Linked DNA regions of Oryzias latipes. The protein of the gene in region 1 binds, or shares a complex with, the protein of each later gene. Links are inferred from orthologs where the notes say so. Each region holds a gene or a part of one and is shown in the gene's direction. Other genes may lie near its edges.

What was found. Proteins that work in one complex are often made in the same cells at the same time.
Region 2: rbx1 (region 1) and dyrk2 share a complex: the UniProt entries of both Homo sapiens proteins name them as parts of the E3 ligase complex. The link is inferred for Oryzias latipes from reciprocal best matches to the Homo sapiens genes RBX1 and DYRK2.

Annotation. Positions count from the first base shown.
Region 1 is NC_019866.2:19,409,049-19,413,156, reverse strand, and holds rbx1 (E3 ubiquitin-protein ligase RBX1), read left to right. Parts: upstream 1-1,403; 5' UTR 1,404-1,639; coding exon 1,640-1,717; intron 1,718-2,718; coding exon 2,719-2,797; intron 2,798-2,947; coding exon 2,948-3,018; intron 3,019-3,160; coding exon 3,161-3,246; intron 3,247-3,355; coding exon 3,356-3,368; 3' UTR 3,369-3,533; downstream 3,534-4,108. Other genes in the region: chondroadherin-like protein, read left to right, coding at 13-304. UniProt on the Homo sapiens protein: E3 ubiquitin ligase component of multiple cullin-RING-based E3 ubiquitin-protein ligase (CRLs) complexes which mediate the ubiquitination and subsequent proteasomal degradation of target proteins, including proteins involved in cell cycle progression, signal transduction, transcription and transcription-coupled nucleotide excision repair.
Region 2 is NC_019881.2:22,931,401-22,935,723, forward strand, and holds the start of dyrk2 (dual specificity tyrosine-phosphorylation-regulated kinase 2), read left to right. Parts: upstream 1-1,451; 5' UTR 1,452-1,558; coding exon 1,559-1,598; intron 1,599-1,676; exon of another isoform or gene 1,677-2,086; intron 2,087-4,323. UniProt on the Homo sapiens protein: Serine/threonine-protein kinase involved in the regulation of the mitotic cell cycle, cell proliferation, apoptosis, organization of the cytoskeleton and neurite outgrowth. Functions in part via its role in ubiquitin-dependent proteasomal protein degradation.

The DNA of each region.
Region 1 (4,108 bases):
TTTGTGTTTCAGGTGGATGGAGAGTGTGAGATTTGAAGTTACAGCGACTTGCGGTAACCCTCCTGACCTCAGAGGTCAGCAAGTCAGAGACATTAATGTCTTCGCATCCTGCTCAGAAAACGCCTCCATTAAGCAGGAGGGCAGCAGGGAGCCGAAACTTTCTACAATAACCAAACCAGGTTCTTTGAAGCCCCCCAAAGTGAAAACTAGACCTGCGAAGTCGAAACTAAGCAAATCATCTAAGAAAAGGTTACAAAAAAAATCTGGGACTCCAAAAAAGACCATGAACAAGATGGCATTATAATAAAATGAATCATGTTTTGGTGGTTTCTTTACAAAGAGTTTTGTTTGGGAAAAAGTTCAACTTTTTTGTTTTTTTATTAAAACTGCTTCATACAACATGTTGTGTGCACTATCTTCATATTTTGTAGGCAAAGCTACTCTAAACAACAGAATACAACTTTTCAAAAAATATTAAAAGTCACAAAATATATAAGTTTATTGATCCTGTTGGCCTCCTGTCCGGCCTTCGCGGATTCGGATGGTTCAGGACGTCCAAAAATGAAATGTGCAGTTGGGGAAACGAAAAGACACAAGAGTTTGCATGAATTCTCAAACCTTTTGCAAAAACGGAGAGTTGGAAAAACATGACCTGTTAGGCTCTGTGGCTGTCCGCTCTCTCTGTCCTCAAGGCAAAAAGGCGTTTTTTATTATTAAGTAAGGGAAGATGAAAACATACAAAATACGTCAGTAGAATGGTGTGTTTCTGTCTAGTCTGCATTGCAGCTGTTATGGCTCCATAAACACTCCAGTACAGAAAGAAAGCAGAGACTGCAAGTCAAAAACAGGCCTACTGGTGACCTCGTCACATATTATCTGCTACTGAGGGCAGGAATCAAGCATATTTGTGCAGTACAATATACATGCAAAAATAGAATCCATTATAATAACAAGAAAATACAACATATAATAGAACCCCTGTAATGCATATTTAAAAGAACATAGAAAATATTATGGAACCCCTGTTCACCTCAACAATCGTCAAACATTAAAGTGTCTGTCAATTATTTTATTTTCAAATAATAAATAGCACGGAACACAAAAAGTAGGCCTGTAAGTTAACTTAGCATTAAATCATTTACGGCAGGATGCTAATAATTTTTAAAACCCGTTATATTCACCGTTTTGATGAATGAAGAAGTTCCTGTTTTTAAATTTTTCTTTTTAAAGAAATTGTTAAGCTGCAAAAATGTAGTTAACCTGTTTAGTAGATAGAATTCTAACAATATTCGAATTGAACGTGTGATCGGTGTCTTGATGGTACCTTAATAATTCTTGGCTGTGGCTTCAACATGGTTCCATGGTGTAATGGTTAGCACTCTGGACTCTGAATCCAGCGATCCGAGTTCAAATCTCGGTGGGACCTGAGATTTTTCTTCCACCCTCGTCTATGGAATCACTTACTATCTTCTTTAAAGTTGTGCTTATTTATTAATTAATTTATTTAATTTTTAAATGAAATTCATGTTTTGGTTGTTATTTTATTTCGTCTTTCCCGTCTCAGTCGGTTAAGTTAATGAACTTAACCGACTGAGACTGTTGCTACATCCGGACGGCTTTGTACAGACGACGTTTCAAGATGGCAGCAGCGATGGACGTTGACACACCGAGTGGTGCTAACAGTGGCTCAAGCAAGAAACGCTTCGAAGTTAAAAAGGTCTGATTTTATTTATTACCTGGTCAACTCTGGATTGGTCAAACACGTTTGCTATATAAAAGAAGAACAAAGGAGCCCTGTCTGTTTTAACCTCCTCTAGCTGGTTAACGACTCCTATTAGCATGTTCGATGTTGCCTAGCATAAAGTTAGCTTGCTTAACGAAAATGAATGTGCATTTCTAAATAATGTCATAACTTAGACCATGTTGTGATATTTACAAGATTACCTTCAGTCGAGCGTAACAGAAAAACAGCGTTTTTGAAATGGTAACGAGAGCTATAATCTTAATTCTTTTAATATTTGTTTTATTTTTGTGCTATTCGGATGCTAATTTAGCTTAGCATAAAGCTGAGGTTTCAAGATCTAGCAGCACATCATCTTTTTCTCTAATTTTAAATTTTTGTTCGTGTATTTCACATGTTAACCGATTTCTTTAGATTATTGCTATAAAGTTTTATATATATATATATATATATATATATATATATATATATATATATATATATATATATATATATATATATATATATTCCCTTAAAAGTGCTTATCTGATTTGTGCACCTGACAGGTGCAATTTGATATATTTATCTTTACTGTAAAAGGAAGCACTAAATCTTTCCTGTCAACTATTTTTAAAATGGGGGGAAAAAAAGTGTCATGATGACCAAAAACAAGAAAATAATTCAGGAACATGTTCTTTATATCAGCCATGTCTATCAAAAATGGCAGGAAGGAAATGCTAATATTTTTGATTTCCCTAAAATGTTTTAACATTCCGATCAGTGGACATGTTTAACAACTATATTTTGTTTTCTTTTTGTAATTCCAGTTGCTTATTTCTTTCGATCCTTTCCATTCAAAGTATTACAAGACATTATGCTAGATATGGTTAAAAAAAAGTCTGGAAACGTTGGAACGTTCTAAAACATTTAACTGGTGTATATAATCCTGGGTAACATAGATTAAACATGTGCTCATCTGATTGTTCTGTCCCCCTCAGTGGAATGCTGTGGCGCTGTGGGCCTGGGACATTGTTGTGGATAACTGCGCCATCTGTAGAAACCACATCATGGATCTCTGTGAGTTCACTTTAATGCATTCTCTGATAGCTTCCTGTCTTCATTTTGACTTCAAACTTTTAGCAGAATGAGTACTTCTAAGCTTCTACAAGCCCTTCTTCTCCCAACAAGTTTAGATTTCTGTGACACGTTGCATGTTTTCTTGATCAGGCATAGAATGTCAAGCCAACCAAGCATCTGCAACCTCAGAGGAATGCACAGTAGCCTGGGGGGTCTGCAATGTAAGTTTCCAATTAAATTGATGGAAGACTCAGATTATCTGTGTGTTTTCTGGAAGATGAAATGATGGATACCAATATGAGCATTTAGAGCTAAAGCCCTTAACATTTCTAATTTCTTTTTCACCTGTTTGTCTTCTTTTAGCATGCATTCCATTTCCATTGTATTTCCCGCTGGTTGAAAACCAGACAAGTGTGTCCCCTTGATAACAGAGAGTGGGAGTTTCAGAAGTAAGTTTGATTGATGTCATGTAGTTTTATTGATTACATTTCTGAAAGTACGATTTTCTTTAAAGTTGTTGCTTTAGACATTGCTAAGCTGTTTGTCATGTTTTCACAGATATGGACATTGAGTCGGCCTGCCGCTCACTTCCTGCAAGAATCAATTTCACTGCTTCTTCAATCCCAGCGGCTTGTATTATTTTCCACACTTTTGTTTTAGTATGTTGTAATTAAATGGTGAGCTTGTAAGGTAAAAAGTTTGAAATAATAAATGGAAAAAAACTGGGAATTAACCTTTCATTTGTGTTTTTGTTTTTTTAATACAGTTGACTTTAAATCACATTGATGTTGACAGCGCAGTAACCCTCTTTAAGGACACGAATCTTCAGTGTAAATTAAATCACCACCAAAATGTTTGACTTCTCTTTACCATAGTTTATTGTGGAAGCTGTTAGAAAAATGAGTTTCATCTATTTGTTAAATTCCACACATGACAGAATACTTCCTAAAGACCCACTCTGATGAAAATCTTGTTTTCTGGTGTTTTCAACGTGCTCTAGTGCCTTTTTCTGATGAAGGGCATAAAAGAAAACTAAGCTCAAATTTACGTTCCAAAAATAACCTGCGATTAAAAAAAAAAAAAAGATTCCAATGAAAAATATCCACACAGACTGAAACGTAAACTGCGATAGTCAATGAGCGGTAATTCTATATTCAGATGAAAAAAAGAGCTTTGTGATGAGATTCATGTGGTGGGCAACAAGCGCCCCGCTTTACAACGGGGAGGGGATGGGGCGGGTTTGCTCCATGCCAACACTCCCGCCCACAACTCGGAGGTAAATTTCTAATGAACTGCTGCTGCTCTGCAGAA
Region 2 (4,323 bases), on another chromosome or scaffold:
AAAAAAAAGCTTATAAAAATTGATATCTGCATGAAAGATGCCAATATTTATTGTGAAGCTTTTTACTAAATATTTTTAAGGATTTACTTTTAACAACTGGATAACTGATTAGTTTTATTCTATAAATATGACTTCTTACAGCCTCAATCTTTTCAGAACAATTGACCTCTTGTGGAGAACCAATTACCCAGAAATAGTTTTATTTTGTTGATGTTGTTTTTCTCAAAATAAAGGACATTTACTCATCAATCAAAGAACATCTACAAGTTAACAGACATTGTAGGAATAATAATTTGTTTGCATTAATTCATCTATTGGTGAAAAAATGCTGGCAACAATAAAATATATAATCATTTTGGGGGAAATCTGAAACATTGGCTGAGTCAAAGCTGTCCAAAGTTCACTTTAGGCATCAATGTTGATAGAAGTAAAATGTTTGTGCACCATGTCCCATAAACATAGAAAACCATGTGCTCAATGAATGAATAGAGACCTTCCACTATGTATAAAAGCTTAAAGACGTTAATATTTGCAGGCATTGGTCGAAATGTGCCTTTTATTGTTTATTTCCTGTAACTGGACCTTTCTTAGCAGACAGTGAATTTTAAGGTTTTGTAAAATAGAACTATATAATCACTCTAAGCAAAAGTCTTCAACCTTGAGAAAGACAGTAAATTGATATACTGTAGTACTGACCCATCTGTCCACTTGTTGGATAGTTTATTCAGTGGACAGATGGGTCAAAGCAGAAACAGCAGTTAGCGTAACAGAGAGAACACGGTGTTTAAATCTTTGTTTTTGTGGCTGTTGCTAGGCAACAAATGGGCAGAAGACAACAGTGCTGAGGAGGAAGGCAACAGGAAGTCAGCCTCAGATCCTCAGAGATTCACAATCTGATAATAGAGAAGAAAACCCACAGACTTTGGGCAAAAGGGCATTTAATGTGTAACAGTCTTCTTCATTTAGGATGAGGGTTCACGTTTCAGAGACTTATATGGACAATTGATCATTCACAGAAATCACCACCAGGGGGCACCACCGGTCTAAAGAAATCTACTGAAAGAGTCACACTTCCAAAAAGATCATACAAAATAAAATAAAACATGCAAAGCAACAACAGCTAAAACATTGTCACAGGGATGGATCTCACTCAGACAATAGATGGGATTAATGCTAAATGTTTCACAAATAGAACCAGATAGGTGCAGAACAGGAGCTTTTCCTACCCTTTTAGCTTATTTTCTGAGACCATTCCCACTAAATGTCCCGTTTCTGACACTGCAGTGTAACCTCGAGATCTGTGACGTGGGTTTGACACCAGAGGTGAGACAGGTGAGCAGATCAAAGGACTTCTGCTCAGAAATGTTCAAATATTATGTTTGATTGAATGGACTGAAATCTGCGGAGGTGAAAGTGCGACTGGTGACTTTTCTCCGCCTTGCTGGAGTGTAAACAAAGTAACAGGATTAGAAAGAGAGGAGGAGGAAGAGGAGGAGCTGAAGAAGGAGGAAGAGGAGGCGTCCTGCTCGTCCGAGACCAGAGGAGAGGAGCGGCCGCCATGTTAACCAAGAAGCCCGGAGCCCCGGTCCTCCCGACGGGTAAGTTCAGCCTGCTTTAGCCCGCAGAGCGGTGCCGAGGCCCGTGGCCGCGCGGGAGGCACGCGGCGGTCCGGGCGCGCGGGATGGTGGGTCACGGGCGCCGCCGGGCACGCGCCGGGCTCCGGTATCCGCCTGTCAGCGCCGCTCCTGCGGCTCGTCTCTCTCTCTGTGCATCTGACTGCTCGGTACTTCCACCGTCTTCTCCCGAGATGACCGGAGGAGAATCTGCGCCGCGAGCGCGCAGAGGAAACCGGCGGAAGTGGAGGTGTCGGTCCGGCTGTTAGGTTTATTTTTAGCCGTTAGATGAGAAGTGACAGCGGCAGAAGGAGAGCTGCTGGTTCGGTTTCCAGCCTACGGCTCCTTCTGGTCCCGAAGCCTCACCGGTGGAACACCAATTTCGTTTCCCTGCCTGAGTGTATGCGGCTCCTTTTGGGTCCCCCTGACAGGAGGAAAGCCCGGTTTCGGTTCCGAATCGCTTCATTTAGTATGTGAGTAAACAAATAGATGTGGTTTAATGAGCCGACATTGTTGTCATGGGTGTTACGGAGGCGTTTGTTACCGGACTGGAGCTTCCGGTTACAGTCCGCTAATAATGCTGCTGGCAGCAGAAAAACAAAATGTTCTTTATATTATTTGTGGATTTTGGATCTTTTACCCTTTAATGACATTTCAAATTGTTGTTCTACCTTTCACGACACATGTAAACGGCTAAACGGATGTTTTTAACATCCAGAACGAGTTAGCTTAGCATTCATGCTAATGTGTTATGTAGTAGTAGTACATCAATAATACCAACTGTAATATGAGTGCAGGTATTTCTGTTGGTCTGATTATTGCTTTTATATCTTCTATGGGCCGCATAAATATATTTTTAACATGTACCTTTGGAAAACCGCCGTAAATTGTGGTTACAAAAAAATAAAAAAAATAAAAACTAGCTAAAACCTACCTGCTGTGTTAGCATAAAGACTTCTGTTCTAAAGGCTTAGCTAATAGAAATAAAAAAGGACAACATATTTACAGTACAGCTCACTTGTCTGGTGCACATTGGGAAAAATTAAATTTGTCGGAATTCTACTTTTAGTTAAGTTACTTCTCATTTTATGCTAATAAAAATGGGCTTTTAGCTAAAACTGCAATTATAACAACTGTCGTTATCAGTTATAGTACTAGCATCAGGTTCAATTCACTGATCAGTGTCATGTACGTATACCATGCAGCTGAAGTCAGTGGAATAAATCCAGTGGATCATCAGGAATCCGCCTCCGTTGGATTTTGTGGACTGGGTCGGCAGGTTGAGTAAGAATCCAGGCAGAGCCGATCCAGCCTAACGCCATGGCATGCCAGACATTTCATTAGCACATCTTCACGTGTTGGAATCGCGCACACAAACACCTGCAGCTTTCTCACCTTTAACGCTGACCAATGGGAGTGTGTTTATTTCAGCTGCAGTCCTGGTTTCCACCTGCGGTACCATCAGTTGACTTTAGAGTAATCTAGATCTGTGTGAGGATCCGTCTCAGCCCGGTTTCCTCCTCAGGCCCGCATGGTGACAGTCTGTGCTGCCTCAGGCTGTGTTCCAGTTATGTTCCCCACTTCATGTTAGACGCTAGCGGGTTCAGATGCTGCAGAAGGCAAACTGTTGATGAACAGAGACCTGTTTGTTGACACAGTTATCATACCAGCAGGAGTGTGGGGTGAATAGATGGAGTGCTGTGGTTCTTCGTTGTCTGCAGAGCCCAAGTTTCAGTTATTGTCATCATGATTGACAGTTGTCTAGCAGATCAGCTGCAGTTCTGACTGATGAAACTTTTCTTTTTGACATTTTTGTCCTGTGATCTTTAAGTACACACATCTTTCAGTCCTTCTCATCTTTTTACGTTTTAGTTTGATCTTTGTGGCTTTTTGGGTCAAACATACAGTCTATAGAGCCCCTTTTCTCTTTTCAGGCGCGACTGGTGTTTTTGTTGCAGCAATTCTTTTTCATTTTGTCTGGGAATTCAATTCTTTGTTCAAGCTTTTATTTTGAAGTTGCTATCACGGCCTTAAGCAATTTTTTGGGAGTTACAGAAGCACAAGGAATCGGACGGGGCAAATGCAGTTGAGCTTGACATTCGTGCTTTGGCTGTCAGGAATCTGGGCCTATGATGTCACCGCTCCTGAACAAAAGGTATCAGAAACATGCAATGGATCTCTGAGCAGCACATCTTTGTAGCACATTCCTGAAAAATATGCAAAAATGAGGATTTTTAGTGGTCAGTTAATTCCAACTCGCACAGAATTGTTCAGAAATAAGACTTTAGTCAAATTAAGATGTGAAACAACAGGAAACATGATTTAGAAAGACTATAAAAAAGCAGTGACTCACCTGTTTTTGTCTTCAGGAATAAGTTTTGGTAAATGTTGCTCATCAGGTGTAACTGTTTCTGGTGTCTCAGCGTATGAAAGATGTATTTTTTAATGAAATATCTTCATTTAACTCCAGAAAACCAGCTGCTCTAGAGGTTTCAGAGTTTTTATAAAGAATTTTCTCTGACAGAAGGTTGCAAAGTTGGCCTTATTTTTATCTCGATTGATCTAATCTATAGATCCACCTTTTCTTTACAGGAATCTCTTTTTCTCTTCCTCATTTTAGTCATAAAGTTCCACTTCTGGTTTATACAGCTCTTGTTTTTGATTTTTGACGTTTCCAGTGTTTTAGAGCTGTCCATTTAAACCAGACGGT